Struthio camelus: one gene and its partners. The protein of the gene in region 4 interacts with the protein of the main gene of each other region in a pairwise test. Links are inferred from orthologs where the notes say so. Each region holds a gene or a part of one and is shown on either strand. Other genes may lie near its edges.

Region 1 (7,388 bases), on a different chromosome or scaffold from region 4:
CACTGCATTTTGATTCGTGTGCAACTCTTCCCTTCTGCTTTACCGCAGGGCAGCAGGTCTTCAGCTGTTAACACCTGAGCACACCGACTGTGCAGTGACAAAGGTTGCCTGACTTGCATATTCTAACAAAGACACTTATGACAGTTCAGTCAAAATATTCCAATAGCATGAGGAAGGCTAACAGTCAAAAACACTTTTATTTAATAAATACAGTATTTGATTAAAAACAGCATCCTTGGGTAACCCAACAGTCCAGAACAGCAATGTCACAAAGCTTCAGTTGCAATGTCAGGTAAGTTTTTTCTGTCACGTCCCTGCTGTTACAACATCTTGAGTAAGAGCAGTATGTGAACAATACAAGACAATAAGGCAATGTGGCTGCTCGCGGTAGCACAGCCCAGCAAAACAAGGAGAGGTAACAGCAGCCCCCTCTGATGCCCAGGAGCACGTATGGGTGCCCTTTCTCTCCACAAATGGAATGTGATGCTTTTGGGAACAAGCAATTAGGAAGATCTGCAACCAAACTTTTCTGCATTTTGAAAAATAACTTTCAGGACTAAACTTGGCAGGAAGATAAAAGCAAGAAGACAGCCCAAACTATGAAAACACTCGGTGTCTGGGCAGCAGGTCACCCGAACTGTTCCGAGAACAAACCAACTCTGGCAGCACGTGTCTGAAGCGCAGCCTTTTAAGTGTTTCTTCCTAGGCATAGTTAGGAACGTACACACAGGGTGGTTGAGCAATCAAAGTTAGATATTAACTGGAGTTCTAGGTTTTGGGCAGCTTTTTTTTTTTTTTTTGGTAGTTTGTTTTTGGTGGGGGGCAGTAGGGCATCTCACTTCATCTCTTGAATTCTGTGCTGGTTGAACTGCTGCCTGATGCTCAGCACAGGGGTGAAACAGGGCACAGGAAGAGGTTAAATATGGACACACACGTGTGCTCACTCGCTTGCTCACTCTCTGAAACCTCTGTCAGCCCTTGGTCAATTCACTGCTGGGGTTCCCAAACGTAAACAGCTGCGTATTCACTGACTTTCCAATTTGCCTGATCCATGGAGGGATCCCACCAGAAGCAAGTTCTCACCAAGCTATTTACATGACTTTGCAATGTGAAAATTGGCTCTTTTCACAGCACTGTTTTAGCCTGAGTGGGAGCATACAACTGTTACCAGGAAAAAAAAAATCATTACCCAAAAAAGCACATTTGAAGCTTGGTGATGAAGGGCGAGCGTCCTGCCACTTTAAACTGTTAACATCTTGCTTCAGAATCTGTATCAAGGAGTATGTGAAAAGCTGCAGTTAGGCAAACTCGCCTGAATTTTATGTATTGCCTCATCTTCAAAATGAGCCCCATCTAAATTGAGATTCCTCAGCTGGGGGAGTGCTTGGCACAAAGCAACAATGGCATCAGGGGAGAACTTATCACAGAGGTCAAGGCAGAGCGTTTCCAGGCACTTCAGGGTCGCTAGGCAAGCCAAACCTGCATTTGTCAAGGAATAAGCATTGCTGATCTCCAGCAGTCGGAGACATTTCATATGGCGCCCAATGAAACGAACAGCGGAGTCGGTAATGACGCAGTGGCGCAGCACAAGGCGCTCCAGCCCCCCCAAGTACACCGCTGCTCTCTGAATCCCTGCGTCTGTTACCCGGTAGGTCCCAGACAGGGTCAGCGTCTTCAGATGAGTCTGGGAGGAGACGTTTAGCAGATGCTGGTCGCAAAAGGCAGGGACGTTCCGGACGATGAGATGCTGCAGCTGGGGCAGGGCGCTCGCGGCAGGGCCCTGGAACCAGGCAGCAGGGATTTCGCAGTGACTCAGCTCCAGCGTCCTCAGGGAAGCAGGCATGCTCTGGTAGGGGAGCGGGCGGAGGTCGGCCTCGGCCAGGCACAGCCGGCCCAGGCGGGGACACTGCCTCCCGAGGGCGGCCAGCAGCGCGGGAGAGAGGATCTCGTGCTTCCTCGCCGAGCACAGCGCGCCCTTCACCTTCAGTGTCCGCAGGCCGTCGCGCAGGTGCCGCCGCAGCAGGTGCCACAGGGTCCTGGAGCTGACCTGAGCGAGAAGGGAGTCAGGCCTCGCGCGGTGGCCCCCAGTCCCTACCGGGCATCCTCCAGCCCCTGGCAGCCCCCAGTCCCTACCGGGCATCCTCCAGCCCCTGGCAGCCCCCAGTCCCTGCTGGGCAACCCCAGCCCTCACCAGGCAGGCCCTGGTCCCCACCGGGTGGCCCCCGGCCCTGTGCAGCCCCCGGTCCCTGGCAGTCCCCAGTCCCCACCGAGCATCCCCCAGACCCCGGCTCCAGCCCCCACCGGGCAGCCCCCAGCCCCCGGGCAGCTCCCGTCCCCACCGGGCAGCCCCGGGCCCCGTACAGCCCCCGGCCCCCATCAGCCCCCACAGAGCAGCCCCCGGCCCTGGGCAGCCCCGGTCCACCCCGGTCCCCGGGAACCCCTAGTCCCTACCGAGCAGCCCCCGGCCCCGGGCAGCCCCCAGCCCCCGGCTGCAGCCCCCGGTCCCCCACCCGGTGCGCGCTCAGGTCCACGTGTCTCCAGAGCGCCCGGTCCTGCCCCAGGCGCCGCCACCGCCGACAGACCCTGTGGGGAGAGAGGAGGCCGGTCACCGCCGGAACCGGGACCGAGACCCGGCCCCGGCCCGGCCCGGCCGCACCTGCCCGCGCGCAGCCGGTCCCGCAGCGGCAGCAGCGCCAGGACCTCCAGGAGCACCGAGTCGGGCAGCGCCGCCAGCCCGGCGCCCGGCGCCCCCTCCGCCATGGCAACGGGCCGCTTCCGCTTCCGGCGGCCGCGCTTCCGCTTCCGGGGCGCGAGGGCACCCGCGACTTCCGCTTCCGGCGCGGCGACTTCCGCTTCCGGCGGGGCAGTCGTCAGCGGCGGCGGAGTGGCCTGCTCGGGTCTCCTCTGCGCGGCCCCCCCCTCGCAGCCCCCGCTGCCGGCGGCGCCTCTCTTCCCTCAGGAACGATGATCGAAGTCGTCTGCAACGACCGCCTGGGCAAGAAGGTGCGGGTGAAATGCAAGTATCCCCGGGCTGGGGCCGGGGGGCGGCGGGTGAGGGGGGTGGCGGCGGCTCCTCCCGGTCCCGCTTTCCTTAACGGCGCCGCCAGCACCGAGGACTCCATCCGCGACCTGAAGAAGCTGATCGCAGCGCAGACTGGGACCCGCTGGGACAAGATCGTGCTCAAGAAGTGGTGAGCGGGGCGGGCGGCGGCCGCCGCTCCTCGGCCAACGGCCCCCTCGGCGCCTGGCCCGGGCTGGGGTGCGGCCGAGCGGCCCCCGGCTGCGCCCTAGCGCTGGGGGAGCCGGGAGGGGAATCCCGGCCCGTTTTGGGGTAGCGTTGCTTGGCCGGGCTGTCACGGGCGGCTTCAAAACCACGCTAGGTCTCCGCTGCTGCCCCTCCATGAGGGGGCTGATGGGAGCAGGGCTGTTGGGGAGGCTGAGGCTGCACCGCTCCCAGGGCGTCTTCCTTTGCTTTAACCTGTGGGGGGGTCACGTGTGCCAGACTGATCTCCGTTTCACGATAACTGCAGGTACACGATCTTCAAGGACCATGTCACGCTGGGAGACTGTATCCTTCTTGCTGTGGTAGTCTCAGTAAGGTTTCTCTGGGGAAACTTCCCAGTTAAATAAGAGATCGAGAACATTTACCGGACGCGCAGCCGGAACGCTGGAACAACGCGCGCGTCAAACCCAAGCAGGCAGCGTGAGCAGAGAGGAAGCGGCTGGGCGCATGCAGCGCTCGCCCTCCTTCCCCGCTGCTGGCAGCCCTGGGGGTGGAGCACGTCCCTGACAAGTGTTGTTTGGTTTGGGACGTTGTACAGCAAGCCAAAGGCAGCGTGGGGTGCAGCTTAGCGCTGGGGGAAGCTTGTCGGGGGCCCTGCGCCAGAACCACCTTAACTTGCTGCTTCAGATGAGATCCACGACGGCATGAACCTGGAGCTCTACTACCAGTAGCGGCGGCTGCCGCGCCGTCCCCACTCCCCGCCTGGCCTGGCTGATGCCTTCCCTCTGTTCCCCTCGCGCGGCCAGCGCGCCGAGCGCCCCGCATTCGTGCATGGAGGCAGTAGATGTGCTGTAGCCTCTCGGGAGTGTTTTGGCTAGTTTGTAATAAACATGTCCCTCGACGTGTCCCTCTTGTCGTGCTGCGGCTCGAGGGGCCGGTGCGGGCGGGCGCCGGGGGGGGGGGGGGGGGAAGCGGGCGCGCTCTGGGATCTTTTGTGCGTCGGCGGCCGCCGTCCGGCCTCCTGTCACGTGCCCCGCGATCGCTTCCGGGAGCAATGCGGCCTCCCGCCCGCAGCCAATCAGTGCCGGAATGGTGCGTGCTTCCGCCAATGGCGCTGAGGACTCGCGCACGAAGGAGGGACGTAGCCCACGGCTGGGCCAATGGGAGCAGAGCGGGGACGGGGCGTGCCCGCCCCCCGCGCCAATGGGGGCCGGGCCGGGAGAGGTCGGTGCGGGAGGCGCAGCTGCCGCGGCCGAGGGAAGATGGCGGAGGAGGAGAAGCTGCCCGCGGGCTGGGAGAAGCGCATGAGCCGCAGCTCCGGTACGGGCGGCGGCAGCGGCGGCGCTGAGCCCCCGCGGGGCGGGGGGGCCTTGGGGGTGGCGAGGGCCTGGCCGGGGCGGGGGGGGGCTGGGTGTCTGAGGGGGGTCTGGCCGGGGGGGGCGGGGTTTTTGGGGGTGTTGAGGGCTGGTTGGGGGCTATGAGGGTAGCCGGGCGGGGGGGATTTTGGGGGTGTTGAGGGCCTGGTCATTGGGTCTGAGGCGGCCTGGTTGGGGGGGGTGGATTTTGGGGGTGTTGAGGGCCTGGTCATTGGGTCTGAGGCGGCCTGGTTGGGGGGGGTGGATTTTGGGGGTGTTGAGGGTGTAGTCTGGGCTGTGGGGGGGGATGGTTGAGAGATGGGGGCTCTGGGGCAGGTGCTGTGAGCTGGACTTTGGGGTGGGTCTCGAGAGGTTCTCGAGGGGTTGAAGTTCAGGCTTTTGGGGGGGGGGTCCTGAAGGGTGCCTGACTCTGGGGCTGCTTTGACTAAGATGGTGCCTGACCTGGGGGGAGGGTTTGGGCTTTTGGGGGTGAGGGGCAGCTCCTATGTCCAGTGGGATGTTGATCTACAAGGGGAGATGGAGCGTGATTTCTGGGAGCTGGGTTGGGGTGAGGGATGTGCTGGCCCTGCACCCCTGGGGGGAGGGTGGTGCTGGCAGCTGCTCCGTCCCTGTGTAACTGGCGGGGAGGCCTGGGGATGGGGGGATTGAGCCCAGCGAGACCCTTGTCTGAGAGCCCCCATCGGAACATGCAGGATGTCTTGCCTTCAGTGTGGCTGCTGTGACTTTGTAGCTCGAGAGCAGAAGTCCTTGGTCAGGATGGCGTTTTCAGCAGAGTTTTTGTCCTTTCTAGTTAGAGCTTTCCATGTTATGGGACCTAATGGCTCAAAAGCAGTTTTTAGGATGCTGTGTTCTCATGCTTGACTGTGGGGGAGATGAGTCCAGGGAGGCAAAGCGTGGAAAGGGAAGAGGTGTCTGTGTGACGCCTTCTTTGTTAAAACTGCGATGGTTGAAGTGCCCTGGCGATAGGGAGCTTTGTGATTGTGTGGAGTTGTCAAGTCTGGGTTGTTAGTGGCCTCCTGGAGGGAGAAACACGGATGACTGTATGGCACTGGTTGGGATTGCAACCGGGGAATTGGGCCCTTTGTCACTACAGCATGACTTCCTACTGCATAGTAAGTTAACCACTGCTGTTGCATTCCCCCTCCCTCGATTTCCTGGCAGAATGGGCTTTTTTTGTGAGTCTTCTGTGGCTCTGGTTTCACTGGAATGCTTTAAGATGAATGCTGCAATAGAAGTTGGAAATCATCTTGATTACAGTTGTGAATTATTGCAGATAAATGAACATGTAGCTCTGAGCCAACACTGGAAGGCCTTTAAGCAAGTGGTGCATCCCTGTCACTGGATGACAGTATTAACTGGCTTTGTTTTAGTGCTGAACGTGGTGTTTTCATAGATGATTTAATCAGAACTTTACTTTCTGCTATGAGGGGGAAGGCATGAGCGTTTTGTGTGGGGAGGTCTTGTTTTCTGGTAGAAACAAAAAGTGATTTTGGAATTGGGCTTTTCTGAGCAATACAAAGACAGGACCTTTGGTAAGGGTAATTTATTGCATTTGCTGCAGCCTGTGCTAAATGATGCACTTAACCGAGAGGCTTTACCTTGTTTCACCATTGCAGATAGTGCTAGAGTGAAATACAACCTTATATCCGCACACCAGAGACCTAGCACCGATCCCTAGCTGCGCAGGGGCAAAAGGGCAGGGTTCCACCGTGTTACCGCGTGCCTCCTTAGAGGATGTGTTGCCATCGCGTGACTGGGAGCTGACTGCGCTCCTTGCTTTCTTAAGAATAATCAACACTTCACATAGGCGAACTTGTGGTCTAACCCTGGCCGCAGCGGCAGGGTGTTGTGTGGGAACGTTTGTTGTTCTGACTGGAGCAGTGGGTGCTTTTGGCCCTGATCTATGGGAGCTTCATGACTTGCCCTAAATTGGAAGAGCTGCTGGAGTCTGCTTCTGCGCAGAGCTGTTGCTTTGACTAAACTCGTGTTTCCATTTGTGTAGGAAATGATGTATACAGAGCTATAAACTACTGTGTGCGATACCATGTTTTTACTGCGCTGGCATTGATAATCTGAACACGGCCGACCACAGTCTCACCTACTTGCAGAAATCTGGTCTTATCTGTCTAGTGGGCCTTGAAAGAAGCTAGTTCTAGGGGTCTGACAGGAGCTTTTTATAACCCTGACGCTCTCTTTCTGTCTGCAGGCCGCGTTTATTACTTCAACCACATCACAAATGCCAGCCAGTGGGAACGTCCCAGCGGCAGCGGAAAGAATGGCCAAGGGGAGCCCACCAAAGTGCGATGTTCACATCTCTTGGTGAAACACAACCAGTCCAGAAGACCCTCATCGTGGAGGCAGGAAAAGATCACGCGGACCAAAGATGAGGCACTGGAGCTTATAAATGGCAAGTAAATGCAGGAGAGAGAGAAAGAGTGATACTATTGTAGGGGAAAAGTCATTTTAAGGCTTAGAACTGAACCCTGAGATGAATGGTTCAGTGTGTCGTGAACTCTCTAAAGCAAAGTTTTTGAGCCAAGTGGTTTGAACATGGACTTTCGTGTAGCATAGCCACTTGGAGAAACAATTTTGCTGTATGATTTGCTGGCTGTGATTAAATGACATAGTCCTACCCCATGTGCCTTCTTCCCCTTATGTTTTTTGTAATGTTGTTTCAGAGGTTTGCTTGTATTTTATTTGTAAATGTGTATTTTTATATTAAAAATAAAGTAATTATTTAAAGCTAAAACAAATGTTCTTTAAACATCTCTTTTTGTTTAATATGTCAT
Region 2 (7,528 bases), on a different chromosome or scaffold from region 4:
AAATGTTTTATTTGGGCAATTTTGAGTCTGCTCTCCTCCTTCCTTTCCAAAATGATTTCAGTTAAATATATATGCATCTCCAAACCAAACTTCCCATAAATATGTGTTTTTGAGAGATTAATGCTTTTTCCACTGATAAAACCATTTAAATGGGATCCAGAGATTGGTTATTTCAGGCTCTCGCTCACATCACGCCGAGCCTGAACCAAACGGAGCCCAGACCTGCCACAGAGGAACACTTTTCTTCTCCATTAGAAAGGAATTCACTGTCCAGACTCAGGCTTTTCTGGGCCTTGCCTAAGCATCATTATCTGGGTTCAATTGAAGTGTAATTGGCAACATGTTTTTCTAGGATTACACTTCATTATGAACAGAGCAGGGGCCCTGAAACCCACTTCTCCTGTAATCGGATCCATTTTCCAGCCTGTGCTCCTGGAGAGTCATTTATAATCGCCCCCAGCGAGCCCTGGGGGATTGCGAGAGCCATCTGAACCACCCCGGGATTAGCGCCGCGGAGCAGCCGAAACGGAGCCTGGGCTGAGCCCGCTCCCCGCTCGGGGCCATGGAGACGACAGGGGAGGATTAAAAGGAATCAGCTGCGTGATCGGGGAGCCAGGTGCCAGTAACCATCGCCCGTCGGTCTTGCGCGGGGGAGCGGGCTGCCCTGGTGCAGGGGAAGGGGAGATGGGCTGCAAGGACCACCGTGGGGAGGGTGCAGAAATCAGGTTTCTCCCACCTGCTTTTCCCCTCCAAGCACTCAGGGCAAGCTATGCCACGGCAAGCTTGTGCACAGCCTGGCCCCAAGCACAGTCCCTTGGATGGTGGGTCACCAGCCTCTGCCCTTGCCCGGGGTACCGCAGGGTTGGCTCGGCCAAGCAAGGGTGTTTATTAGAGGCAATCTCTCCCCTCACCCTGAACTGTCACCCTGGCCCGGCAGTCAGGGCTGTTTTCCCTCCTGTACGAACTCAGCAAGCACCACGGGACGCCTCCCCCGTGGCCCACCCTCTCCCGCGTCCCCGGGGCCGCGCGGGACGGCTGCCCTCCCCGTGCCGCCGCCGGCGCTGCATGCTCCCGCTCAGACCTGTGGGCAGGGCAGACGTGCGGGAGGTGGGCTGGCCTGGAGGAGACTGCTGCGGCTCTCCTGCTGCGGGTCGCGGAGCCAGCTGGTCGGCGGCTAGCCCCAGCGCACCTACTTCTAGTTCGCCGCAGCAGGACTCGGCAAACGCGGCCCGACCCGGGAGGGAAAGCTCCGGGGAGCGTGCTGCGGAGCGGCAGCCAGGAGCTGCGGTCCCGGCAGGCTGGCGAGAGCTGTCCCCGCCACGGCTGGCTGTGCCCTTACGTGGTGGGAGCCGTTTCCCGAGGATGGGTGTCACGAGTACGAGGCCAAGCGATCCATCTCACCCAGCGCTAACTGGCTACCCCGCTTTGGAGGCCAAGGAATAAGTGAGCTTGCAAAGCTTGATGTCCCTTCCCCGCAGCAGGAAAAACTCTCCAGGGCAGGGCGGAGGGTGGATCCCTGCCAGGGACCTGGGATTGCCCAGGTTTGCCTGTGCCAGCCCTCTCCCGGGGGTAAAGGACTCCAGCGCGAGGCTCCTCAGCCCGGAAGGACGGTCAGCCCAGCCACCCACCCCTGCGCTGGGACCGTGGCCTCGCTCCTCACTCCCCTCCCGCCTGCTGGGCTCTGGGAAATGTCCCCGGAGAGCGGCCAGCTGTGAAAAGCTGCAGCAGCTGGAATGTGGGAGGGAGGGCAACGCTTCTGGAAAGCGGGAGGCAGCGAGCGGGACGTATCTGTTACCTCCTGGTGAACTGACACCTCTGATTTAACCCCGTGCATGCCTGGAATGCCCTGTCCGCACGTCTTCAGTCAACATCACCTCCTAACCTCAGGTCCCACCGCTGGCTGCCAGATCCACAGCTGTAATTTCAAAAGCGGAGGCCTCGCAGGGATGCTGGACAGGATTCCTGGCTGCAGCGCTGCGGACAGGCTGTCTTGTTCTGCGGCTAAGCGGAGGGATTCATCACAGAGGGGAGAAACAGGCAGGGCTTCCAGGAGGTGATTCGGGATGAAAGCGTGTAGGTACGAATACGCTATCACCTCCGTGTTTTGTCAGATCTGGAGGGCGGCCAGGAGAGGATTGTTTGCCGTGGCTCCGGGCCAAGCCACAGGCACTACAATTGCGAACCCCCCCCCCCGCCCCGCTTCCCCGGCCCACGCAATTCAGAGCCAGCCCAGCCGACGGCTAGGGGCAGTCCGGGGGAGGGAAAAACAACATTTTCCCACAAACCCATGGCCTCACCCTTCCCCAGGCAGGCACAGGGCAGATCTGAGCCCGGCTGCCACCCGGTGCTACTCTGGCACGGCTGGGCTGCGCGCTCCCGCCCATCACCCCGCGGCCGGTCTGCGCCCAGCCCTGCGGCCGGGAGCGCGGCCCGGCCCGGGGGCCGCGGGCTGGGCGCCGCCGGGCTGCACCTGCCGGGCCCTCGGCCCACCGTGCCCCGGAGGCGCTGCTGCCCCCACGGGGGCTCCGGCCGGGCAGTGCTTTCCCCGTCCATAAGGTAGACGGCCATGGTGCAAACCCACCAGTCGGGCACTCGGTGGCCAGCAGAGAAGCAGCAATGAGTGAGAATTAACGTTGCACCAACCCCGGTGACAGCGAGGGTTACGGGCTCCCCCAGAAGCCCAAACTGAGGTCCGGGCTCCCCGGCGGCTAAACGGACAGGGCCCGGGAACTTACTGCTGGCGGACACGGGGCTGATCCTCTCTCACGTTGGGGTGCTGCAGAGGGTGACGTGGTCTGTGTGACCGCCGGGGCGTCTTGGCTCCCGGCTGTCCCGGGCAGCCTGAGGTGACCTCGGAGGTGCCAGTCCCGTCTCTCTGGGCGCCGGGGCGGGAGGCGCTGGAAGGACGCGGGTGGTGGATGCTAAAGCAGCAACGGGAGCCGGCTGGGAAAACCCATCCGCTGGTGCAGCCAAGGCCTCGGCCTTGCCCCGGGCCGGTCCCCGGGGGCTGGGGGAACACAACGCCTTTGTTTGCGACTCTGCCAGCCCTCGGAGCCCTTCCCTCGCTCAGCCCCAAAACAGCAACCCTTCAAAAGGCCTGGCCTCCCCCTCCCCGTCCCCCAGCAATGCTAATGTGCCAGGCCTCTTCCCATGAACCCTGGGAGAGATCAGGCTGGTAGACAGTTTCACCACTTGTTAAATGTGTGTTTAGCGATCTTGCGAGTAGACAAGAACAAACACAAACAAGGCGGGCTGGAGAGCCCCTGCCCCTCCGCCCTGCCCCGGCCCACCGGCCCCAAAGCCTTTCTTCTCTAACCACTTCAAACTTTCATTTCTTCTGAAGCCACAACAAGGCACACTTTGTAAAGCAAATGAGTAAACAGCAACTTTCAGCTTAAGGGGAAAACAAGGAGGAGGGACTGTTTTTAATTACTGGATTTTAAAAAGGGCTTTATTCGGTTAATTGCTTTCTGTTGTAAAACGCTCTTCTGCCCGCAGCCCTGGTTGTGGCTGCGTCGCTGCTGGCCAGATGGCATTGCAGAGGAAACGACAGCACGCGCTCGGTGCACGCGCGCCTTTGACGTTCGCAGACACCCCCCCAAGCCCTCCCAGCCCCATGGAAATGACAGGAGGCCCCAGGTTCGCAGACACCCCCCCCAAGCCCTCCCAGCCCCATGGAAATGACAGGAGGCCCCAGGTTTCGCTCCGGCACGACCACCATGGTGGTTTGGCATGTCCAACCCGCCTCACTTCCGAGGGACCGGAGGAAGGGCAGTCGGCACGCACAGGAAAGCCCCTGCAGCGTTTCAAGGCCCGTTCCCGAAAGGGCTGATAGCTGTTGATCGCCCTGGCTGCTGCCTGTTCCCTCCTCAGTCTGGAGGAACGCGGCATGTTCGTGCGAGGTGCCGCGCGCAGCTCAGCCCTGCCCGACAGGGCGCCTGTCGCCTCGCAGCGCTGCGCCGCTTGGCACGGCAGCCAGCGCGCGCGCGCGCAGGCACGCGAACACAAACGCGTGCGTGTGCCTCGGCGCAGCCGCGCAGCGCCGATTCCAGCTGTACCACTGATGAGCGCAACCAGCTTGGGAGATACCCCGAGTCCCCGCGGAGAAGGGGAAGTTGTCACTGCGCTAGGGACAGATGGTACCGGGAAGGGAGCAGGAGAGAGGAGGCAGCAGGAGCCTTTCCTCCAGCTGGACCGGCCTCGGGATGCAAAAGGATCGAGCGCAGGCTTGGCCTTAGGCACCCGGCGCCTGAAAGTGCCGGGGAGCCCCGGAAAGCCCGGGCTCCTCGCGGCCGCCGGCAGCTACCGAGGCTCCCGTCAGCGAGCGGCGGGCACGGGGCAGATGCCTCGCGGGCGGCGCGGAGTCAGCGCAGGGGAAGGTGGAGACAGGTTTTGCTGCCAGACAGAGCTGGCGAGAGCACGTGCTCCCTCCTTCCTCGCCAGCCTGGAAGGCACCGCGAGGGAGCGCGAGCACGCGCCGGGGGAAGCAGGGACAGGAAGGCTCCAGGTCCTTATTTGATAAGGAAAGGGATCATCCGGGGCCCTGCACCTCACCCGCAGGCATCTGTTGGCCCAAGGAAGATGAGCTTCAAGCACCCAGAGGCCGGGTGAGCAGCCAGGGTCCGCGTTACCGTCCTGTGACGAAACCCGGCCTGCCGGAAACCCGGCTCTCCTTCCTTGCACGGCTGCGTAAAGTACCATGCTGGCACGTGCAAGGTGTCGTGGGCCACTTCGAACTGGTCACTTCCTTCCCAAAAAACAAACACAGGAGACGAGAGCATCAGCTCTGGCACGAGACAGCAACCAGCCCTACCCAGGGAGTCCCGTGGGAGCAGCGCCCGCAGGCGGGCCGCGCCGGAGCGCCCCGTGCCCGCGGCGGCAGGCCGCTTTCCGGCCGCCGAGCGCGCCGCGGCGGGTGGGTCTGTTCCTGCCAGCAGCCAGCAGCTGGTGATGAATGCTCACTTTCTCTAATTGAATAGCAGGAAGTTAAATCTTGTTTCTTTGCCTTTCAGGCTGTCAGCTGGAACAATTGCCCACCTGTGGCACCACCCCGGGGATATAAATAAGGAACAAAACACAATGCTGTCAGAGGAACGGACTGCGTTCCCAGAAGATCTCCTGATATCGCATGCCATATTGCGCGCCCGCACCGGAGAGAGGGAGCCATAGCTGCGGCCCGGCGGGCACGCAAGCACCGGTGCGCGTTTCCAGGCAGCCACGGAGGCCGGGCAGCGTGGGAACGGGCTGCAGGGCAATGGGAGCGCATCTGCGGCGGGCGCGCAGCCGTGGCACGCCGGGCGGCGCGGGCGCGAGGGGCTAGCGCTGCAAGGAGCAGCATGCACACGCCGCAAGCGTGCACAGCCACGCAGCAGTTGTTATACGCGCTCCCTTGTGGGTGCTAACAGGCGTGGCGTGCGACACCCACCGGGAGATTTACTGCCGAGGCCAAAATCCTTCCTCCGCTCGCGGCCCCTCGGCTCGTGCTGGGGCTGCCCTGCCTCTCCAACAGCCCAGGCAGGGAGGCAGGCGGAGGGGCGCCCTCACCTGCGAGCTCCCGCGTTTTGCGGTGCTCTCTGCCAGGCGGGCTGCGAACCCGCGAGCTCCTTCCCGGGGCCGCGCTTCCCCCCGCCGCCTGCAGCGCTCGCGTCGGCAGTTCGCACGCCGAGCCCCGCTCTCCCCGCTGGGATGCTCCCAAGGCAGCAGCCGTCACAGCTGGGCCGAGCTTGACAGTTAAGCACAGCTGGGAGCCCAGCTGAGGAGGAGGAGGAGGAGGAGGAGGAGGAGGCACGGAGGAAGCCTGCTGCGGGCGGCGCGGCCCCTCCGTGCACGCCGGGGAGGGCAGCGGGAGACACCGACGCGCGCAGGCCGATGTTGTTGCTGCCAGAGGAAATTATTAATTTGCCGGGAACAAAGTCGGCAGTCAAAGACCCATCCTGCCCGAGCAACAAAAGCCTCCGCTCCCCCCTCAGCCTCTCCGCCCCCCCCCCCGCCCCGGCCCCACGTGCGGCCCCGACGCGGCCGGGCAGGGATGAAACGGAGGCCCGGCTTCACCCGGACGCCGAGGGCTTTCGCTCCGGCAGCGGGGGCCCCGGCAGACATCCCGCCGGGCCTTCGCCAGTCGCTGTGGCAACAGGCCCGGCGCGGGCGCCGCTTCCCTGTTTGTTTTCCCCCTGTCTCCGCCGCCGCGGGGGCGGCCATGGCCTCCCTCCCTCCGGCTCCCCGAGCGGGGCGCCGGGGCGTTCAGGGCCCGGCAGCCTGAACGAAGCCAGATCCCTGGACACATTCCTGTGGGTTTTTTTTTTTTTTAATTTTCCCTTTTCCCTCCCCTTTTTTCTTTATTCCCCCCTCCCTTCTCCCTTGCTTGGCACCAGCTAAAGGATTCAAAAGGAAGCCAGGCTTGGCAGACATGGGGGGGAGGAGGGAGTGGGGGAGATGAAAGAAGGCCTCTCTCCCGCTTTCTCTTCCAGTTCCCACACTCAGCCCGGCGCGGAGCGCTCCTAATGATTCCCAGCCGCACCTGGGGGAGGCCGCCCGGCCGCCGCGGGAGCGAGGGGCCTATTTACACCGCGGGCGGGAAGGGCCCCAGCCTGCTGTGGCCACCCTCCTGCTCGCCACCACTGGGCCCTGCCTCAGTGCCCGGGGGGGTGCCCGAGACAGCTGCCCCGAGATGGCCGCCCTGCCTCAGTGCCCAACATGGCTGCCCCACCTCAGTGCCCAAGATGGCTGCCCCGCCTCAGCACCCAACATGGCCGCCTCACCTCAGCACCACACCTGAGGCCTCAGCGCCCGGAGCCAGAGCTGGCACTGAAGAAAAACCCCTCCGTTCCCAGCTCGGCAGGAACCAAACGGGCACCCTTCCTAATGTGGCCACGCCGCACATGCCCAGCGGGCTGGCTGCGAACACGACAGCCCGGGCTTGCACTGAGGCAGAGGCGCCCGCTGCATCCCCGCACGCTCCCCAAATCGCACACTCACGGGAGCAGGGACGGGAGCAACGGGCGCCGCGAAAGGCGGCGATGCCCCCGGGAGCGGCGGCATCCGCCACCACCGTGCCACCCTCGCCACAGCCCTTCCCACCATCTCATGGCCCCGCCGGTGCTGAGACGAGCGCCCAACGCGCGTGACTTTCCGCCCCGCGTTCCTTGCGGACAGATGCGGCTCAAAACAAACACCACGCCGAGCCAGCGCGGACGGCTCTGGCTCCTGCAGTGACCGGTTCGAGTTTTCCTTGATTTATACTCCCTCCGAAGCAATTCCCCAGATAAAGGTCTGGCTGCAGCGCGGGGCGTTAGCAGGCCGTCTGGGAGCAGCGTTTCATTCCTCAGTGGTCCCATGTGTTTTGATTGGCATCGGGCCCCGTTTTGGGGGGGGGGGGGGAGGACGGCATGGAACCAGCCGACTTGTGCGTCCCCGGCCACAATCGCTTTATCTCGAGGAGGAAACCGCTGCTCCGAGCTCGCCGCCGGCCCCAGCGCTCCCGCTGACGGATGCGCCGACAAGGACGCGCCCGGAGCGCGTGCCGGGTCCG
Region 3 (6,714 bases), on a different chromosome or scaffold from region 4:
TCAAGGTACCGGGCCCGGGCTCCGCCGCCCGGGGCCGCCCGGGCTCCGCCGGGGCTCCGCGCCCTCCACCCGCCCCCCGGGGCCGCCCGCCGCTCCGGCCGGAGCTGGGCCGCGGGCAGCGCCCCGGCAGCCCCGGACCGCAGGGCACCGTCTGCCCCGCAGGCTTGGGCCGTCTACAAGGGGAAGTACCACGAAGGCACGGACAAGGCCGACCCGTCCACCTGGAAAACGCGCCTCCGCTGCGCGCTCAACAAGAGCACCGACTTCCAGGAGGTGCCCGAGCGGAGCCAGCTGGACATCTCCGAGCCCTACAAGGTCTATCAGATCGTGTCCGACGGGGCCCGGGACGCAGGTAGGGCCCTGGGGCCTCTGCTGGGACCGGGCTGCTTCAGAGTCGTGGCTGGTGTCTTTGCCGTTCCTGTACGAGCCCTGTGCCCCACGGGTGTCACCGCCTTGGGCCTTCCTCCCCGGTCTCTTCCTCTGCGGTGTCCCGGGCCAGGCTGGTCCGCAGCCAGCGGTGCAGGGAGCAGCCGGGTTGGGAGGGAGGAAGCCTGAGGAGCAAACCTGGCCGGTGCCTTGGCTGGGCAGAGTCACGTCGCCCTCGCACAGCCTGGCTTCTCCGTTAGCTCCCCGTCCGCTGCTGGGGCAAAGCCCCTCCAGCGCTCCCCCTTCCCAAGAGGAGCCAATCCCGGGGGGCATCCGGACACGGGGCAGCTCCTCCGGCTGCACCGGGTGGCTGCCGTGCGGTCGGAGCTGGGTTTGCTGTGCCCGGGATCCCGGCCAAGGGGGGGCGCGGAGCCCCAGCCTTCGCCTGGCAGCCAGGCACGTTCCCAGGCGGCCGCTCCTGCTCCCGCGGCTGCTCTCCGTCGGGAGGTCAGCGCGTTTTCCCATGCTCTCTGCAGACAAGGATGGCAGCACCGAGTCGCCAGCCTGCAAGGACCAGCGGGTGAGCCAGCCCCCGGGCGCCGCATCGTCCACCACGGCCGTTAGCTATAGGCCAGAGGAGGTGGGAGCCGGCTGCCCGAATGCCCCCTCGCCCGTCAGCCGTTCCCCTTCCCGCGTGCTCCCACGCGCCGGTCGATTGCTCCTTCGCCCCGTCCCCCGTATGGCCCGTCCTGTCCGTCCCTGCTCGTCTCGCTCACGTTCGCTCCGCCACGGACGGCTGCGCTCGGGGACCGCGGCACCCGGCCTCCCCGGCTCCGCCGCTGCCCCGCGTCCCCCGTGCCCTGCGGGGTTTCTCCCAGGGCTCGTAGCCCACTGATGTTTCCATCCATCGGTTTCCCTGCGCATCCGTTTTTCCCGGCTGGGGGTTTGCCGTGTCCATCCGAGTCCCAGGCTGAGCCCCTGTGGGAGTGCCGCCGCGGTCCTGGGCGCCTCCGGGAGCCTTACGGCAGCACGTTCATCCCACTCCCGAGCGTCGTCGCGGGTGCCCCCGGCCGCGGGATTTGCCACCGCGGGGTGGGGGGCCGGCAGCGGGGCAGGAGCCAGCTCAGCTCCCCTCGTTGCCGGCTCCGGCCCCGGCCTGTCTCACCGGCGCCGCTCTCCTGCGCAGGGCAGCGCCGCGGGGAACCTGGAAGGGGAGAGCCGGAAGGGCGCGACGGAGACGGCGCCGCCGCTGCCCCTGGCCTCTGGCCACCCGGCGGACCGCGGTAAGGGAAGAGCCTCCTTCTCCCTGAGCCTGTCGCTCCCCGCGCGGGCGGCTCCCAGGGCACGAAGGGCGGCTTCGCCCCAGCGGGCGGCTCCCGATCCGGACCCGTGTCCTGCGGGCGCCCGGGAGCGCCCAGGGGAAGGGAAGCAGCAGGACGGGGCCGGGGGCTCCCTGCCGCCAGCCCCGGAGCCAGTCGCCCGCTCCGGCACGGGCGGGCTCTAACGAGAGCCAGCAAACGAGCGGCAGCGGGAGAGCCGCCGCGGAGGCGCGTGGTGCGGAGCCGGCGGGCGGCCGCCAGGGCCCCTTTGCCATCCCGCCCTCCGCCCCCGCCCAGGATACCACGTGCGGGGCGTTTTCTACGGCTGGAACCCGGCCCCCGGCCACCTCCTCCCGGGCCCCCCGTCCTACGTCCCCGCCGAGGACATCAACCACTCAGGTAGGAGCCGCGGCTGCGCCCCCCGCCCCCAGGGACGCCCCTTCCCCGCGAGCCCGGAGCCGGCGCTGCAAGCCGGGCACCGGCCCCGGCCCGGGCGAGAAGCACCCCGGGATCGGGGCTTCCTCCGGGTCTGAGCCGAACTGAACCCCGGCTTCCCCCCCGCGTAGCCCTGCTGAAGGGGGGGTGTAGCAGACCTGGGCTCCCATAAGGGACCCTGCTGCGCGTTTGGCAACCGGGCGCGACGGGGCGCCGGGCGCTCCGGTGGGTTCCCGGCCTCCTGTCCAGCTCCTTCGGGAGCCACCGCGGCTCCTTCGCTGGGCGTCCCGGGCGCTGACCCCCCCTCGCCCAGACTGCTGGCTCCACGTCCGCCTCTACTACTGCGACGTGCTGGTGAAGGAGCTGACGACGCGCACGGCCGAAGGCTGCCGCATCACCTCCCGCGCCGTGCCGGCCGACAGCGAGCGGCTCTACGGCCCCTCGTGCATGGAGCAGATCCAGTTCCCCCCGCCGCGGGCGCTGAGCGGCAACAGCCGGGTGGCCAGCATGACCGACGTGCTGGAGCGGCTGCTGCCCCACCTGGACCGCGGCGTGCTGCTCTGGGTCGCCCCCGAGGGCGTCTTCATGAAGCGCCAGTGCCAGGGCAGGGTGTACTGGAACGGGCCGCTGGCCCCGCACAGCGACTGGCCCAACAAGCTCGAGCGGGAGAAGACCTACAAGCTGCTGGACACGCAGCAGTTCCTGCAGCGTAAGTGCCCGCGCGCTGCTGCGGCTCCGGGGGGCCGCGCTGCCGCCGGCGAGGGTCTCGGCCCCGCTGACGGGGCCGGCGTCTTGCAGAGCTGCGGGGGTACCTGAGCCACGGGCAGCCCTCGCCCCAGTACCAGATCAACCTGTGCTTCGGCGAGGAGTACCCCACCAGCGCCGGCCACCACTTCCAGAAGCTCATCATGGCCCACGTGAGTAGGCGCCGGGGTGGGGGGACAGGGGAGCGCGGGACCGACGGGACGGGACGGGACGGGACGCGCGCCTGCGCCCGTGCTCCCGGCGGTCCGTGCCCCCGCAGGTGGAGCCGGTGTTCGCGCGGGAGCTCTTCCATCACGCCCAGCGCATGGGGCCGCAGCTGCTGCGCGAGGCCTCGCAGCCGTGCGCCCCCGGCGCCTCCAACCACGTCCTCCAGGTCCTGAAGCAGCTCTGCCAGCCCTGAGCCCCGCAGCAGCGCGAGAGGAGGGCCGCGCCGGCCCCGCGCCCAGAGCGCCCGGCCCCGCCGGCGCCCGCGGGGCCGCGGGAGCAGCACGCGGCGCGGACCCCGCGGCAGGGGCGCGCTGCCGGGCCGCGGCGTCCCCAGGGGCCGGAGCCGCGCACCGCCGTATTTATTCCCTGGAAGCTGTCGGAGATCCCGGCCGGGCTTCGGTTTGCTGCGGGCTTCTCTGTTTCGTGAGCGGGGGCCGCGGCGCCCTCGGCGCAGGCGGGGAGGCGCCCGCTCTGCCTTGGCGCCGCGGGGACCCGCCGTTCGGGCACGTTAGAAATAAAGGTGTTTTAGTACCGCAGGCTCCGAGTGTCAGGGGACGGGGGGGGTCACCGCTGCCCCGGGACACGCGCACGGTGGCACGCGTTGCGGCGGTGAGCGCGGGGTCGGCAGGCACCCGGCGCTCCTAGCCGGAGCTGGGCTTTCTGGCGCGTCCCCAGCGCCGGGCGGCTTTAGCGGGCCGGTGCTGTCGGCTGAGGTCTGGGAGGGCAGCAGGATCCGCCCGCCGCGCCCCAAACCCTCCCGTACCCTCTGCCCCCGCGCTGGGTCGGACCCATCTCGCACTCCGGCTCCTGACGCCGGGCGGGATGTGCAGGCAGCAGCGACGGCCCGTTAGCTGCCGACAAGCCGGCAGCCTCTCCCCAAGGGGCTCGCTGCCCCGTGCCTCAGTTTCCCCCGGGGTGAGGTGGCTCCTGGGATGTGGTTCGCGCGGCAGCATGGCAGGGATGTGCCCAGGCGGCAGAGCGTGGTGCGGGGCGCTGGCGTGGGGCAGGGACCTGGCGTGGTACGGGACCCGGTGCCATGTGCGGTGCCAGCATGATGCGGGCACCCCCCGTGGTGTGGGACCCGGTGCGATGCAGGACCCGGTGCCGTGCGGGACCCCATGCGATGCGGGGTGCTGGCGCAACGCGGGGACCGGGTGCACTGCAGGACCCGGTGCGGTGCGGGACCCACTGCGTGTGCGCTGCTGGTGCGGTGGGGGCACCTGGCGCGATGCAGGACCCCGTGCGGTGCGGGGACCCGGCGCGGTGCGGGACACGGCACAAACTGCAGGCTCGGGGCAGGGGCCGAGGCGCCGGGGGCAGGAGGAGGCGGACGGAGGGCGGCAGCCCCGGCCGGCCGGGAACGGGGCTCCGCTGCCTCCATCCTGCCGCCTTCACCCCGCTCAGCACCCCGCTGCAGGCAGGGAGCGCTGCCCAGGGCCGAGCGGCGCGAGCAGGAGCAGGATGAGCCCCAGGTGCAGCCGGTGCATGGGGCACTTTCCCACCGCGCGACCCGGAAAGTGGGAAGCGGGTTTGGGGAAGCCGGGCGGGGGGAGCGGGCGCCGAGCCCCGGGGCATCGGCCGAGCCGGGCACCCGCCTGCCCGCCGGCGCCGGCCCTGCCGCGGCGGTGCCGGGCCGGTGCCCACGGGCGCCCCGGCGGCGCGTCCGGCCGCGGGGCCCGGCGCCGGCCGAGGGAGCCCCGCTCCGCCCTGGGCGGCCCCGCGGCGGCGGAGAGGAGGGGCCCGCCGCCCCCTCGCCGGCCCGCGCGGGAGGCTGGGCCGCCGGCGGGTTTTAACGGGCCGCCGGCGGGGTCGGGCGGCAGACGCGGAGCGGGACGGCGGCGGGGCCGGCACCGGCCGGGAGGCAGGATGCAGCCGGACCGTCCGCGCGGCGGCTCGGCGCTGAGCCGCCCGCCGCCCCCCCGCCAGCCGGGCCCCTTGGGCGGCCCCGAGCCGCCGGCCGCCGGCGAGGCCACCAAGCCGCCCTACAGCTACATCGCCCTCATCACCATGGCCATCCAGAGCGCGCCGGAGAAGCGCATCACGCTCAGCGGCATCTACCGCTACATCATGGGCCGCTTCACCTTCTACCGCGAGAACAAGCAGGGCTGGCAGAACAGCATCCGCCACAACCTCTCGCTCAACGAGTGCTTCGTCAAGGTGCCGCGCGACGACAAGAAGCCGGGCAAGGGCAACTACTGGACGCTCGACCCCGACTGCTACGACATGTTCGAGAACGGCAGCTTCTTGCGCCGGCGCCGGCGCTTCACCCGGAAGCGGGGCCCGCGGGACGCGCCGGAGGGCGACGGGGGCCGCGGGAAGGCGCCCCGGGCGCCGCGCTGCCGGGGGCCGCCGGCCGCCCCGGGGCCGGAGCGGGCCGAGGCGGAGGGCGGCCACCCCTCGCCGGCGGCCGCGGGGCGGCTGCTGAGCCTCGACGAGCTGGCCGGCGGCTCGCGGCCCTGCCGGCTGCCGCCCCGCGCCCGGCCGCCCTGCCCGTACCCGCCGGAGGCGCCGCCGGCCCCCCGCCAGCCCGCCGAGACTGCCTTCGGGGGGCTGCCGGCGGCCCCGCCGCCGCCGCCCCGGCCAGGTCAGTACGCGCTGCCCGCCGAGCGGCCGGCCCCGCTGCCCGCCGAGCTCCGGGACGTGGCGCCGGGCTCCCCGCCGCCCCCCGCCTCCCCGCCGGGCAAGGAGCCGCCGGCCCTGGGGCTGGGGCAGCCCTTCGCGCCGGTGCCCGCCGTGTTCCCGGGGCCGCTGCTGGGCGCCGGGCAGCCCCCGCCGCCCTGCTTCCTCGAGGGCGACGGCTACAAGGCGCCGGCGCTGCCCGTCTTCGGCTCGCTGGGCTGCGCGGGGCCCGAGGCGCTGGGCGGCAGCTACCAGTGCCGGGTGCAGGCGCTGAGCTTCTGCGTGAACGAGCCGTGCGGCGCGGCGCTGGAGCAGCTGCTGGCCGCCGCCGCCGCGCCGGCCCCCGGCGCCCCGCGCCCACCGCCCTGCGGGGCCGGGGGGCCGCGGGCGGCCGAGCCCAAGGAGCCCTGGCCGGGGGGCGGCGGCGGGGGCGGCGGGTACCCGCTGGGGCTGCCCCCCTGCCTCTACCGCAGCCCCGGCATGTTCTTCTTCGAGTGACGGACTGGGCGCCCCGCGGGCTGCCCCGGGGCCGGGGCCCGGGAGGAATAAAGCTCGTGTCCCAAGCGCTGCCTGCTGTCGTCTCTGCGCCCGGCGCGGGCTGGGGGAGCGGGGGCTCGGGGCCTCCCCGGGGCCAGGACGCCCGGCGTCGAGGCTGCCGCCGTGCATCCGGGACCGCTCGCGAGCGTCGGGCCGCACGTGCCACGAGCAGCACCGGTCTCAGCACGCGGCCCTGCTCGCGCGCCCCGGGAGCTCCCCGGAGGGGGCTCGGCAGGGCGCCGAGGGGCTGCGCTGGGACGGGCGCCCTCCCTCCCTGCTCCGAGCCGTCCTGCTGCCGGGCGCCCGCGGGCGCCGCGGGGTGCAGGGGACCCGGCCGGGCCAGGCACCGCTCGGCCGCCCTGGGAACGGCCCGGCCGGCCGGGAGAGCGGCTGCCGCTTTGCGGGATTCCTGGGACCTGAATCATCCCGGGCGGCTGCCGGTGAGGAGGCACCGGCTGAGTCACCG
Region 4 (7,361 bases):
GCTGGCAGAGCTGGTGTGCGCGGTGCTGCCTGGCGGGCGAGGAATGCCTGGAATGGTCTTGGAAACAGAGAAGAAAGAGGTCCTTAAAGCCACCTGCAGAAGCAAGCGGGGCTCCCCGCAGAACTCGCAGGCAGGCTTTCTTGGTCGAGCACATCCATCTTTCCCAGCCTGGGCCAGGTTTCCCAGGGAAAGCCCTTGCCCTGGTGCTCATTAGTGAGTCTGTGTAGGGCAGAGCAGCACCCCCATCTTGTGCCTGCTCAAAGCCTTGTCCCTCACACCGCCCTCTTCAGGGCTCCTTTTTCTCTCCCGAGTGGCCTTGTGCTGCTTAAGCGTTTGCACATATGTGAGAGACAAGGTGCAGCCAGACCTGCAGCTCCCTACGCTGTCAGCACTATATGCTTATGATACGCTGTGGGCCTTACAGCCAGCGATGGTACAGGTATGATAGAGGAAGCCATGGTACTTGACTCCTCTCCTATGAAGAAAGGCTGAGAGAGCTGGGCCTGTTCAGGCTGGAGAAGAGCAGACTGAGTGGCGATCTCATCAACATGTACAAGTATCTGAAGGGGGGGTGTCAAGAGGATGAGGCCAGTCTCTTCTCCGTGGTGCTCAGCGACAGGACAAGAGGCAACGGGCAGAAACTGAACCACAGGAAGTTCCACCTAAACCTGAGAAAAAACTTCTTGACTGTGAGGGTGACAGAGCACTGGAAGAGGTTGCCCAGAGAGGTAGTGGAGTCTCCTTCGCTGGAGATATTCAAAACCCACCTGGATGTGATCCTGGGAAATATGCTCTAGGTGACCCTGCTTGAGCAGGGGGGTTGGAGTAGATGATCTCCAGAGGTCCCTTCCAACCTCAACCATTCTGTGATTCTGAGATTCTGTGACTCCACCGGGCAGGGGGGGCACAGAGCCTGCCAAAGTGGCACGTCTTATTCAACAGCCGGAAACTGGTTATCAATACACAAGATTTCCTCCCTCTCATTTGGCTCTTCCTACAACTAAGTCAGCTTTTTCCAAACAATTATTCTCCATGGGATTGCAGAACTACTGACAACACTGCGCAGCATAGTCCGATACCTGCCTGTTTTTTCTTCACTTACCTGTAGGCTGTAAGAGACAGCAAGTGCTAGAAAAGTGGTGACACCCTCTCTCCTCTGACCGCTGAAAACTGCCTTCTGTTCAGCTTGCTTTTCAGCCCATTCACTCGGCGCTGTGGCAAGATTGGAGCACAGCTGCAGCTTCTATGGCCGTCTGCTGCACTTCTGGGGAGCTTCAGATGTGCACAAGTTTTCAGGCAGATGAATGTCACGCTGACCCATAGAGATGTTTTTCATAACTTTCCCTTCTACCTTTGTAAAATATGTTCTGCAGTTTTATCCCAATGCAGAACAAAACTGAGTGTTGGAAGGAACAGAATTTCTCGCAGGAGAGAAAGCAAGAGCCACTGTTTGTACTGGAACCCCAAACTTCAGCTGAGATGCAGGAAACTGTTTGCTACGGCATTCCCTGCTTGCAACTTTAATGCGGACGGATTTGGAACCGAGGATTTCAGGTAGAGCACGGCTTGACATAAAAGCGAGGGAACGTGCACTACAACTAATAAGATTTTCTCCTTAAACTTACAGGGATATCAAAAAGCTGGATTTGGGCCTTGAATTTCCAAACTGCGGCCCATTGCTGCTTGGAAACTGTGTGGCTATTCTCCAAAGCAGTCTAAATACGGGCTGCAAATATTGTCACAAATATGACAGTTTCCATCTAATTGAGGTAGACCCCGCCAAGTTTTCTTGTTCAGATGACCAGAAAGATCTTGCAGTTGAAAACAATGGAAGAGAAAGTAATGAAATCAGGGTGAACCGCGCGGACTTCCATATATGCCACTGAACTCAAATAATGCCTCTTACGTGCTTAGCAGCGTGGTTTCAAACAGGCAATTGAAAAAAAAAGACATGTTGGAGCTGGAAAAACAAAAAAGTTGCACCAGTGCAGAGCCCCGGGTGGTGGCTGCTGCGAGAAAGCACAACGTTCCTGCGGGTCCACGCTCGGAAGCGGTCATTTGAAGCCACCTATGAAAAAAATAAGCCTCGTACGCTAGCCTGAGTTGACCTGTTGGGCAGTCGTGGAAAAGCCTCTTTTCTGCTCACTTTTCATGCTCGCTTTCAGAGCTACAGGGGCCTGCTATGTCTTCACCTCGCAGGGGAAAGCAGGGAAGCAGCCTGGGTAGCCACCAAAGGGCCCCTTGGCCCAGCTAAGGGGCTATCAGTCGAGCGCCGCTGTCAGCAAAAGCGTTCCTCCGACAGCAAGCACGCTGCAAGTACGCTCGGCAAAACCTGTGGCGTGGCACGGGAAAGATTAAACAAATCTCTCCTTTCCTCCTCGAGCCACCTTAAATTTCATACCCTGTAGGACAACAGCGCCCTCAATAGCTGCTACAGGGGTTTTCTCCTCTCAGAGGTAAAGAAAGGCCAGGTTTCTTTCTTAACTCCCAGGCTTTCATTCGTATTTGTTCTGCTTCTTTGTTTCCTTGATTGCTTTTCAAGAAAGCTTTGAACAGTTAATACAATTCTGACAGAAACAGAAATGCTCTCTTATTACAGAGGCACCCAGAGGGCTGGTAAATATTACACTAGGCTTGTGCCTCAAAAGTGACTTTTTTGCTGAAAAAGCCCACCAGCCCATCCCAAACTTTCCATGGATAATGGGCCATTTCCAGGCCTATAAGGGCCCTATCCTAGGAAACCAAACATACAACTCCAGGAAGAATATGCTGCTAAATTTGTTCGGTTCTCTCCCCTGGGAGTGGTTTAAACCCAGCTGTTCCTCATGTCCTAAAAATGAGGCAAATTTTCAAAATCTCTTCCTCTGAGGTAAATTCCCAGCAACAGCCCTATTGCCGTGCAGCCGCTGAGCAGCTCTACACCATGTTTGGGGAGAAAGCAGCAAAGCACGGACGGTACACGACAGGTTCCCGCGGGATCCTGCACCCCCGGCTCTCTCCAGGGCTGATACTGATTTTGGGCTGCTCACTCACCTTCTGATAATGAACAGCACATACAGGTAAATCCAGCAGCACACTGAATTTATCCCAACGGCCCCGGCCACGATTTCTAACTGTGGTGGCTCAGGTTTTCTGACTGTAGGCACCGTCCTACCAGGAAGAGAGAGAGGTGGGAGACCAAGACACCAGTCCTCAAACGAATCCCGATTGCCTCTCTTCCCAGCATGGTGAGGTTGCACCTGTGCCACAACTCTGCAGAAGCCTGCAGACCAGGGGCACCGTCGCTCTGCTAAAAACCCCCCATCCCATCTTTTTCCCGGTGGTGAGTGAGGTCCCTTCTTTTTCCCCTGCTCACCAAGGTAACATGTTTTTTTTAGAAGTGCTCGGGCCTCTGCCTGCTCTTTCTGACCCTGAGGCTGCTCAGGTGGCTCGCAGGGCCACCTGCTATCCCAGCCGGACATCTCCCCGCTCCCGGAAATTCGGACCGCACGGCTAGTTTCAATCTAGCTCCCACCAGGACAAGTTCTGCTCTGTAGGGGAACATTTTTTGAGAGGTTGGAAGCTTGCCAGGTGACGTTGGGGGCATTTCGGGTAAGCGCTGCCACATGGGAGGGACACTTAGCCCCCCGGAAGAGAGGGGCTCGCGTCCCCTCGCCTGCCCAGCGCCGCGGGAGCAGCCTCCGCCCGCGCCCGAGTGGCCCCAGTGTGGGTAGGACGAGCGGCCCAGGGCGACGCGCAGACGGACAGCTGTATTCGATTTGGCCGCTCTCTCCAGAAAGGCAGGCTGAGCCTTGAGGACCGCGCGTGGCCCTCCTATCTGCTGATGGGGCCGTTTATCCCCCGGGGGCAATCCCGACCTCCGTTAAAACTTGTTTAGCTCTCCGTAGTCTAATCCCCTCGGCCAGCCTGCCTCCTCGGGCCTGGAGGGCTGCTCGGGAGGAGGCGACCGGCTCGGCCCCGCTCACGCCACGTGCTGCGCGAGCCCCTCTCGCTGCCGCCGCCTGACGCAGGCAGTTTGCCAGGTTCGCTGTTCCCCCCGCGGAAAGGTGCTACGGACGGAGGCGTTAAGCGTCAGCTCGCCTGGCGCGCACGGAGACGCTTTTAGGGACTTTTCCCCGAATGCCGGGGCAGGTTTTTGGAAATGAGCAGGGCCACCCCCCAGCCCCTTTCAGCATCTGATGCCAGACGACTGACGAGGGACGGGGAGCACAAGCCGGACGCGGCGACAAAACGCGACGAGCGTCGCCCCCAGCGCCTGGGCGGCCCCACGCGCGCGGCGCCCCCGCCCCCCACGCCGCCTTGGCCCCGCCCCCCGCCCTAGACGCCCCGCCCCCCACCGGCCCGGCCCCTCCCACCACCGCCGCCGCCCGCCCGCCCGCCGCCGCCGCCGCCGCCGCCGGCGGGAGCAGCCTGGCCGCGCACGCAGCATGAGCAACCTCCCCGCCGAGCGGGACGGCGGCCCCGCCGAGCCCGGCCTGCCCGAGGAGGAGGTAGCGGGGTCCTGGGGGGCGGCGTGGGGTGGGGACGGGGACTCCTCGCCCCTCTGCCGGGCCGCCGTGGCGGGGGGGAGAGGTGCGGCTGGAGCCGCGGCTCTCCGCGGAGGCGGCGGCGGCGGACGCGCGGGCTGTGACACGGGGGCATCCGCGTTGGCCCGGCCAGAAAGTTTGAAGGGGGCGGTGGGGGTGACCGAAACAGGGCAAACCTCTCGCATCGGCGAGCGTGAAGCCGGGGTTTGGGGTTTTGGGGGGGGGGGGTTATTTTTTTGTTTTTTTCCCCCCGCAAGCGTCCGGGAAGGGGTTATTTGGCCGCGTCGTCCCAACAAAGTTGAATTTGCCGGCTGAAGGCGGGCGGAGCGGCGGGCAGGCTCCGGCGGCGCAGGGCAAAGTGGTGCTGCTCGACCCCTTTGGAGCTGGGGCAGGAGGGCCTGTTTCCTCGGCCCCCAAAGCAGCTTGGGGGCCGCTGAAGGACGCGGAGAGGTTAGGGGGAGGGAGGCGTGTGGGGAAAAAATGCACCCCGGCCTTTTGTTGCAAGGCGTCGGACACCGTCAGGACCGTCCCTGCCCCAACCTGGTGGTGCTGAGCGTGGTTGCAGCTGAAGGAAACTGCTTTGGGACCGCGCCGGGCCTGTGTGGGCCAAGGGCAAAGGTGCTGAGAAAGGAGGAGCCGCGTCCCTAGGGCTTTGTCTTGCCCGGGGAGGGGTGATGGCAGCAGGTGCCACCAGGGCACGAAGAGAAGAAGGGGATCGGCCCCAGGAGCGTATCATAGCGGGCTTGGAGAGGGAGGACGGACAGGTGGTACCGTGCGGTGCTGGGTTCCTGCTCTGTGCTGCGAGCGTGGCTTTAGGAAGGGGCCGGTTGCTGGTGCTCGCAAGCTGGGCTCCTTTCCCACCATGGCAGGTCCTTCCCGCACCTGCCTCCTCCTGTGCCAAGCCGGCAGGTACTTCGCTGGCACAAGCTTATACCGGCGCCGGCTGGAAGCGCTGGCGCTTGGGAGTATTTGCGTAAGGACGCTCGGAGCGGGTTGCCTAGCCACTGGGTTGTGCATACCTCTCCCCTTCCTGGGAGGTCATGCCGGAGGGCTTTTCTTTAAACTTTGTGCCCTCCCTCTCCCCCCGATGCTGTGTTTTACCCCAAAAGAGGAAGAAGCAGACCCTGTCTTGAGGCTGTAGATCCTGTGCCGGGAAGGCGGGAGGTCGGGGCATGTGGGCTCCCACAGCAGGGAAACCCGCAGGCTTTCCGGAGGTTAAAGCAACGGTGCTGCGACGTGTGATGGGCCCCCGGTTTCCGTGCGGGTCTGGCCCAGAGCCTAAGCCGACGCTCGGATAAGTCCGGCCAGTTCTCCTTTGTCTTCCCGGGGCTCGCGGGAGTTGCTCCAGCCTCTCCTGGCAACGGGCAGGATGCGTGGGGCATCCCCTTCCCTGTCGCTCCAGCCCCGTTCAGCGCTGACTGGCGTGGGTGAGCCGCGGGTTGGAAGGTCCCGGCAGAGGAGCCTGGCAGGGGTAGAGCCGTTGGAAAAGAGGTCGCGTAGCTACGGCCGGGCGAGAACGGCATGTAAAAGAATAGACGGAGGCCTTATTTGGTAGCGGAGCAGCTCCAGGGAGTCCAGCCCTTGTCTCCATGGCCGTGCCAGCTCCCCCAGCGCGGCTCCCAGCACAGCGCGGCTGGGCTGGTGGAAACGCTGCTGGCGTTGCTGACTGTATCGTCCCAGGAGGTTGTGGGGGGCTCGGGCACGGGCAGGGGGCAGCCAGGGTGGGGAGAGAAAGGGTGGCACGAGCAGGGCTAGGCACCCCTGGGGACGCTTCCTAGCGGGAACATCTCCAGCAAGTCGGTAAGCTTTCCCTGCGCAGCCACCTCGCCCCGTGGTGGAGCTACGAAGACTTCCCTTTATCTTGTCAGGAACTGCCTGTGGTTCGGCGTCGCTTCCCATGTACTTGTGCTTCCCTCCCTCCTTTAAGAAATGCCCGGTCTCGAGGATTTGGGAGGAAAGCTCCAAGCAATGACACAATTGTGCATGACCTCAGGCCCCAGCCCCGGCCCGCAATCCAGCCTCTCTGTTGCAATCTCCCATCTGCTCCCTTGGCTTCTTGCTTTCTTTTGCTCACTTCCTCGTTCCAGCTTCGCCTCCGGAGCAGCTCCCCCACATTGTCCTCAGCCCTCGCTTGACTTTGTTTTCCCAAACACTGCTCCTCTCCTTGCTTTCCCTGCCTACCCCAGCAGTGGTTTTGTTGGTGATCTTGAGAAGCGGCTCCAGGTTGTGGAGCTGGAGGTCTGAGCGGAGGGAAGGAAAGCCCAGACCTCCCTGTCTGGAAGAGGTCTGTGCTCGCTCTCCTGCGTGGCCTGGTGCAGAGCATGGAGCCCTGTGCCTTCTCCATCCTTGGCGCCGTGTGGACCCAGGTGTGCCACACGCAGGCCTGGGACATACGCGGTGCCACTTGCAAAGCAAGTATCTCGGGCCTCATTGACTGAAGTCTTGTTTATGTCAGTGAGTTTTGTGGGCTTGTGACATGCTTACACAGAGCCCGGTAATCTAAACCAAACCGAGGGAACACTCCATTAATGGAGAGAGTATTTACGTAAGGGCTAATCCGCGCGGGGCTGGAATGCACCCCGCTGCAGGGGAGCAGGGGCAGCGCCGGCCAGGGCTCCTCGCCTCTCCTCCTCCTGCCCCAGCTCCGTGTTTAGGGCGCTTTTCCCTTCGCTGGGAGGAGGGGGTGAAGTTCCACTTTCCGTATTTTAGGGCTTTATCTCAGCCCTAAGCCAGCGCGGTGGCCTGGAACGGATTCATCTGCCTCCTCCTCCTCCGGGCCCGGCTCTGCTGCCACGGCGCTCCCCTCCCCTCAGCCCCCCCATGCTGCGTGCACAT

The links.
Region 1: the proteins of RBPMS (region 4) and PIN1 interact in binary tests that used the Homo sapiens proteins (3 or more experiments, as listed by UniProt). The two-hybrid records come from large-scale screens. The link is inferred for Struthio camelus from reciprocal best matches to the Homo sapiens genes RBPMS and PIN1.
Region 2: the proteins of RBPMS (region 4) and HEYL interact in binary tests that used the Homo sapiens proteins (3 or more experiments, as listed by UniProt). The two-hybrid records come from large-scale screens. The link is inferred for Struthio camelus from reciprocal best matches to the Homo sapiens genes RBPMS and HEYL.
Region 3: the proteins of RBPMS (region 4) and FOXS1 interact in a two-hybrid assay, tested with the Homo sapiens proteins (2 studies listed by BioGRID and IntAct). The link is inferred for Struthio camelus from reciprocal best matches to the Homo sapiens genes RBPMS and FOXS1.

Annotation. Positions count from the first base shown.
Region 1 is NC_090972.1:5,062,728-5,070,115, reverse strand, and holds the start of PIN1 (peptidyl-prolyl cis-trans isomerase NIMA-interacting 1), read left to right. Parts: upstream 1-4,384; 5' UTR 4,385-4,485; coding exon 4,486-4,543; intron 4,544-6,805; coding exon 6,806-7,006; intron 7,007-7,388. Other genes in the region: FBXL12 (F-box/LRR-repeat protein 12), read right to left, coding at 1,274-2,047, 2,452-2,583, 2,701-2,760. UniProt on the Homo sapiens protein: Peptidyl-prolyl cis/trans isomerase (PPIase) that binds to and isomerizes specific phosphorylated Ser/Thr-Pro (pSer/Thr-Pro) motifs.
Region 2 is NC_090964.1:8,092,885-8,100,412, reverse strand, and holds the start of HEYL (hairy/enhancer-of-split related with YRPW motif-like protein), read right to left. Parts: upstream 3,018-7,528; 5' UTR 2,736-3,017; intron 2,114-2,735; 5' UTR 1,796-2,113; intron 1-1,795. UniProt on the Homo sapiens protein: Downstream effector of Notch signaling which may be required for cardiovascular development. Transcriptional repressor which binds preferentially to the canonical E box sequence 5'-CACGTG-3'.
Region 3 is NC_090959.1:18,560,305-18,567,018, reverse strand, and holds FOXS1 (forkhead box protein S1), read left to right. Parts: upstream 1-4,958; coding exon 4,959-6,209; downstream 6,210-6,714. Other genes in the region: interferon regulatory factor 4-like, read left to right, coding at 1-5, 163-352, 903-1,006, 1,553-1,649, 1,983-2,084, 2,434-2,829, 2,919-3,037, 3,145-3,285. UniProt on the Homo sapiens protein: Transcriptional repressor that suppresses transcription from the FASLG, FOXO3 and FOXO4 promoters. May have a role in the organization of the testicular vasculature.
Region 4 is NC_090945.1:5,907,808-5,915,168, reverse strand, and holds the start of RBPMS (RNA-binding protein with multiple splicing), read left to right. Parts: upstream 1-4,344; 5' UTR 4,345-4,427; coding exon 4,428-4,490; intron 4,491-7,361.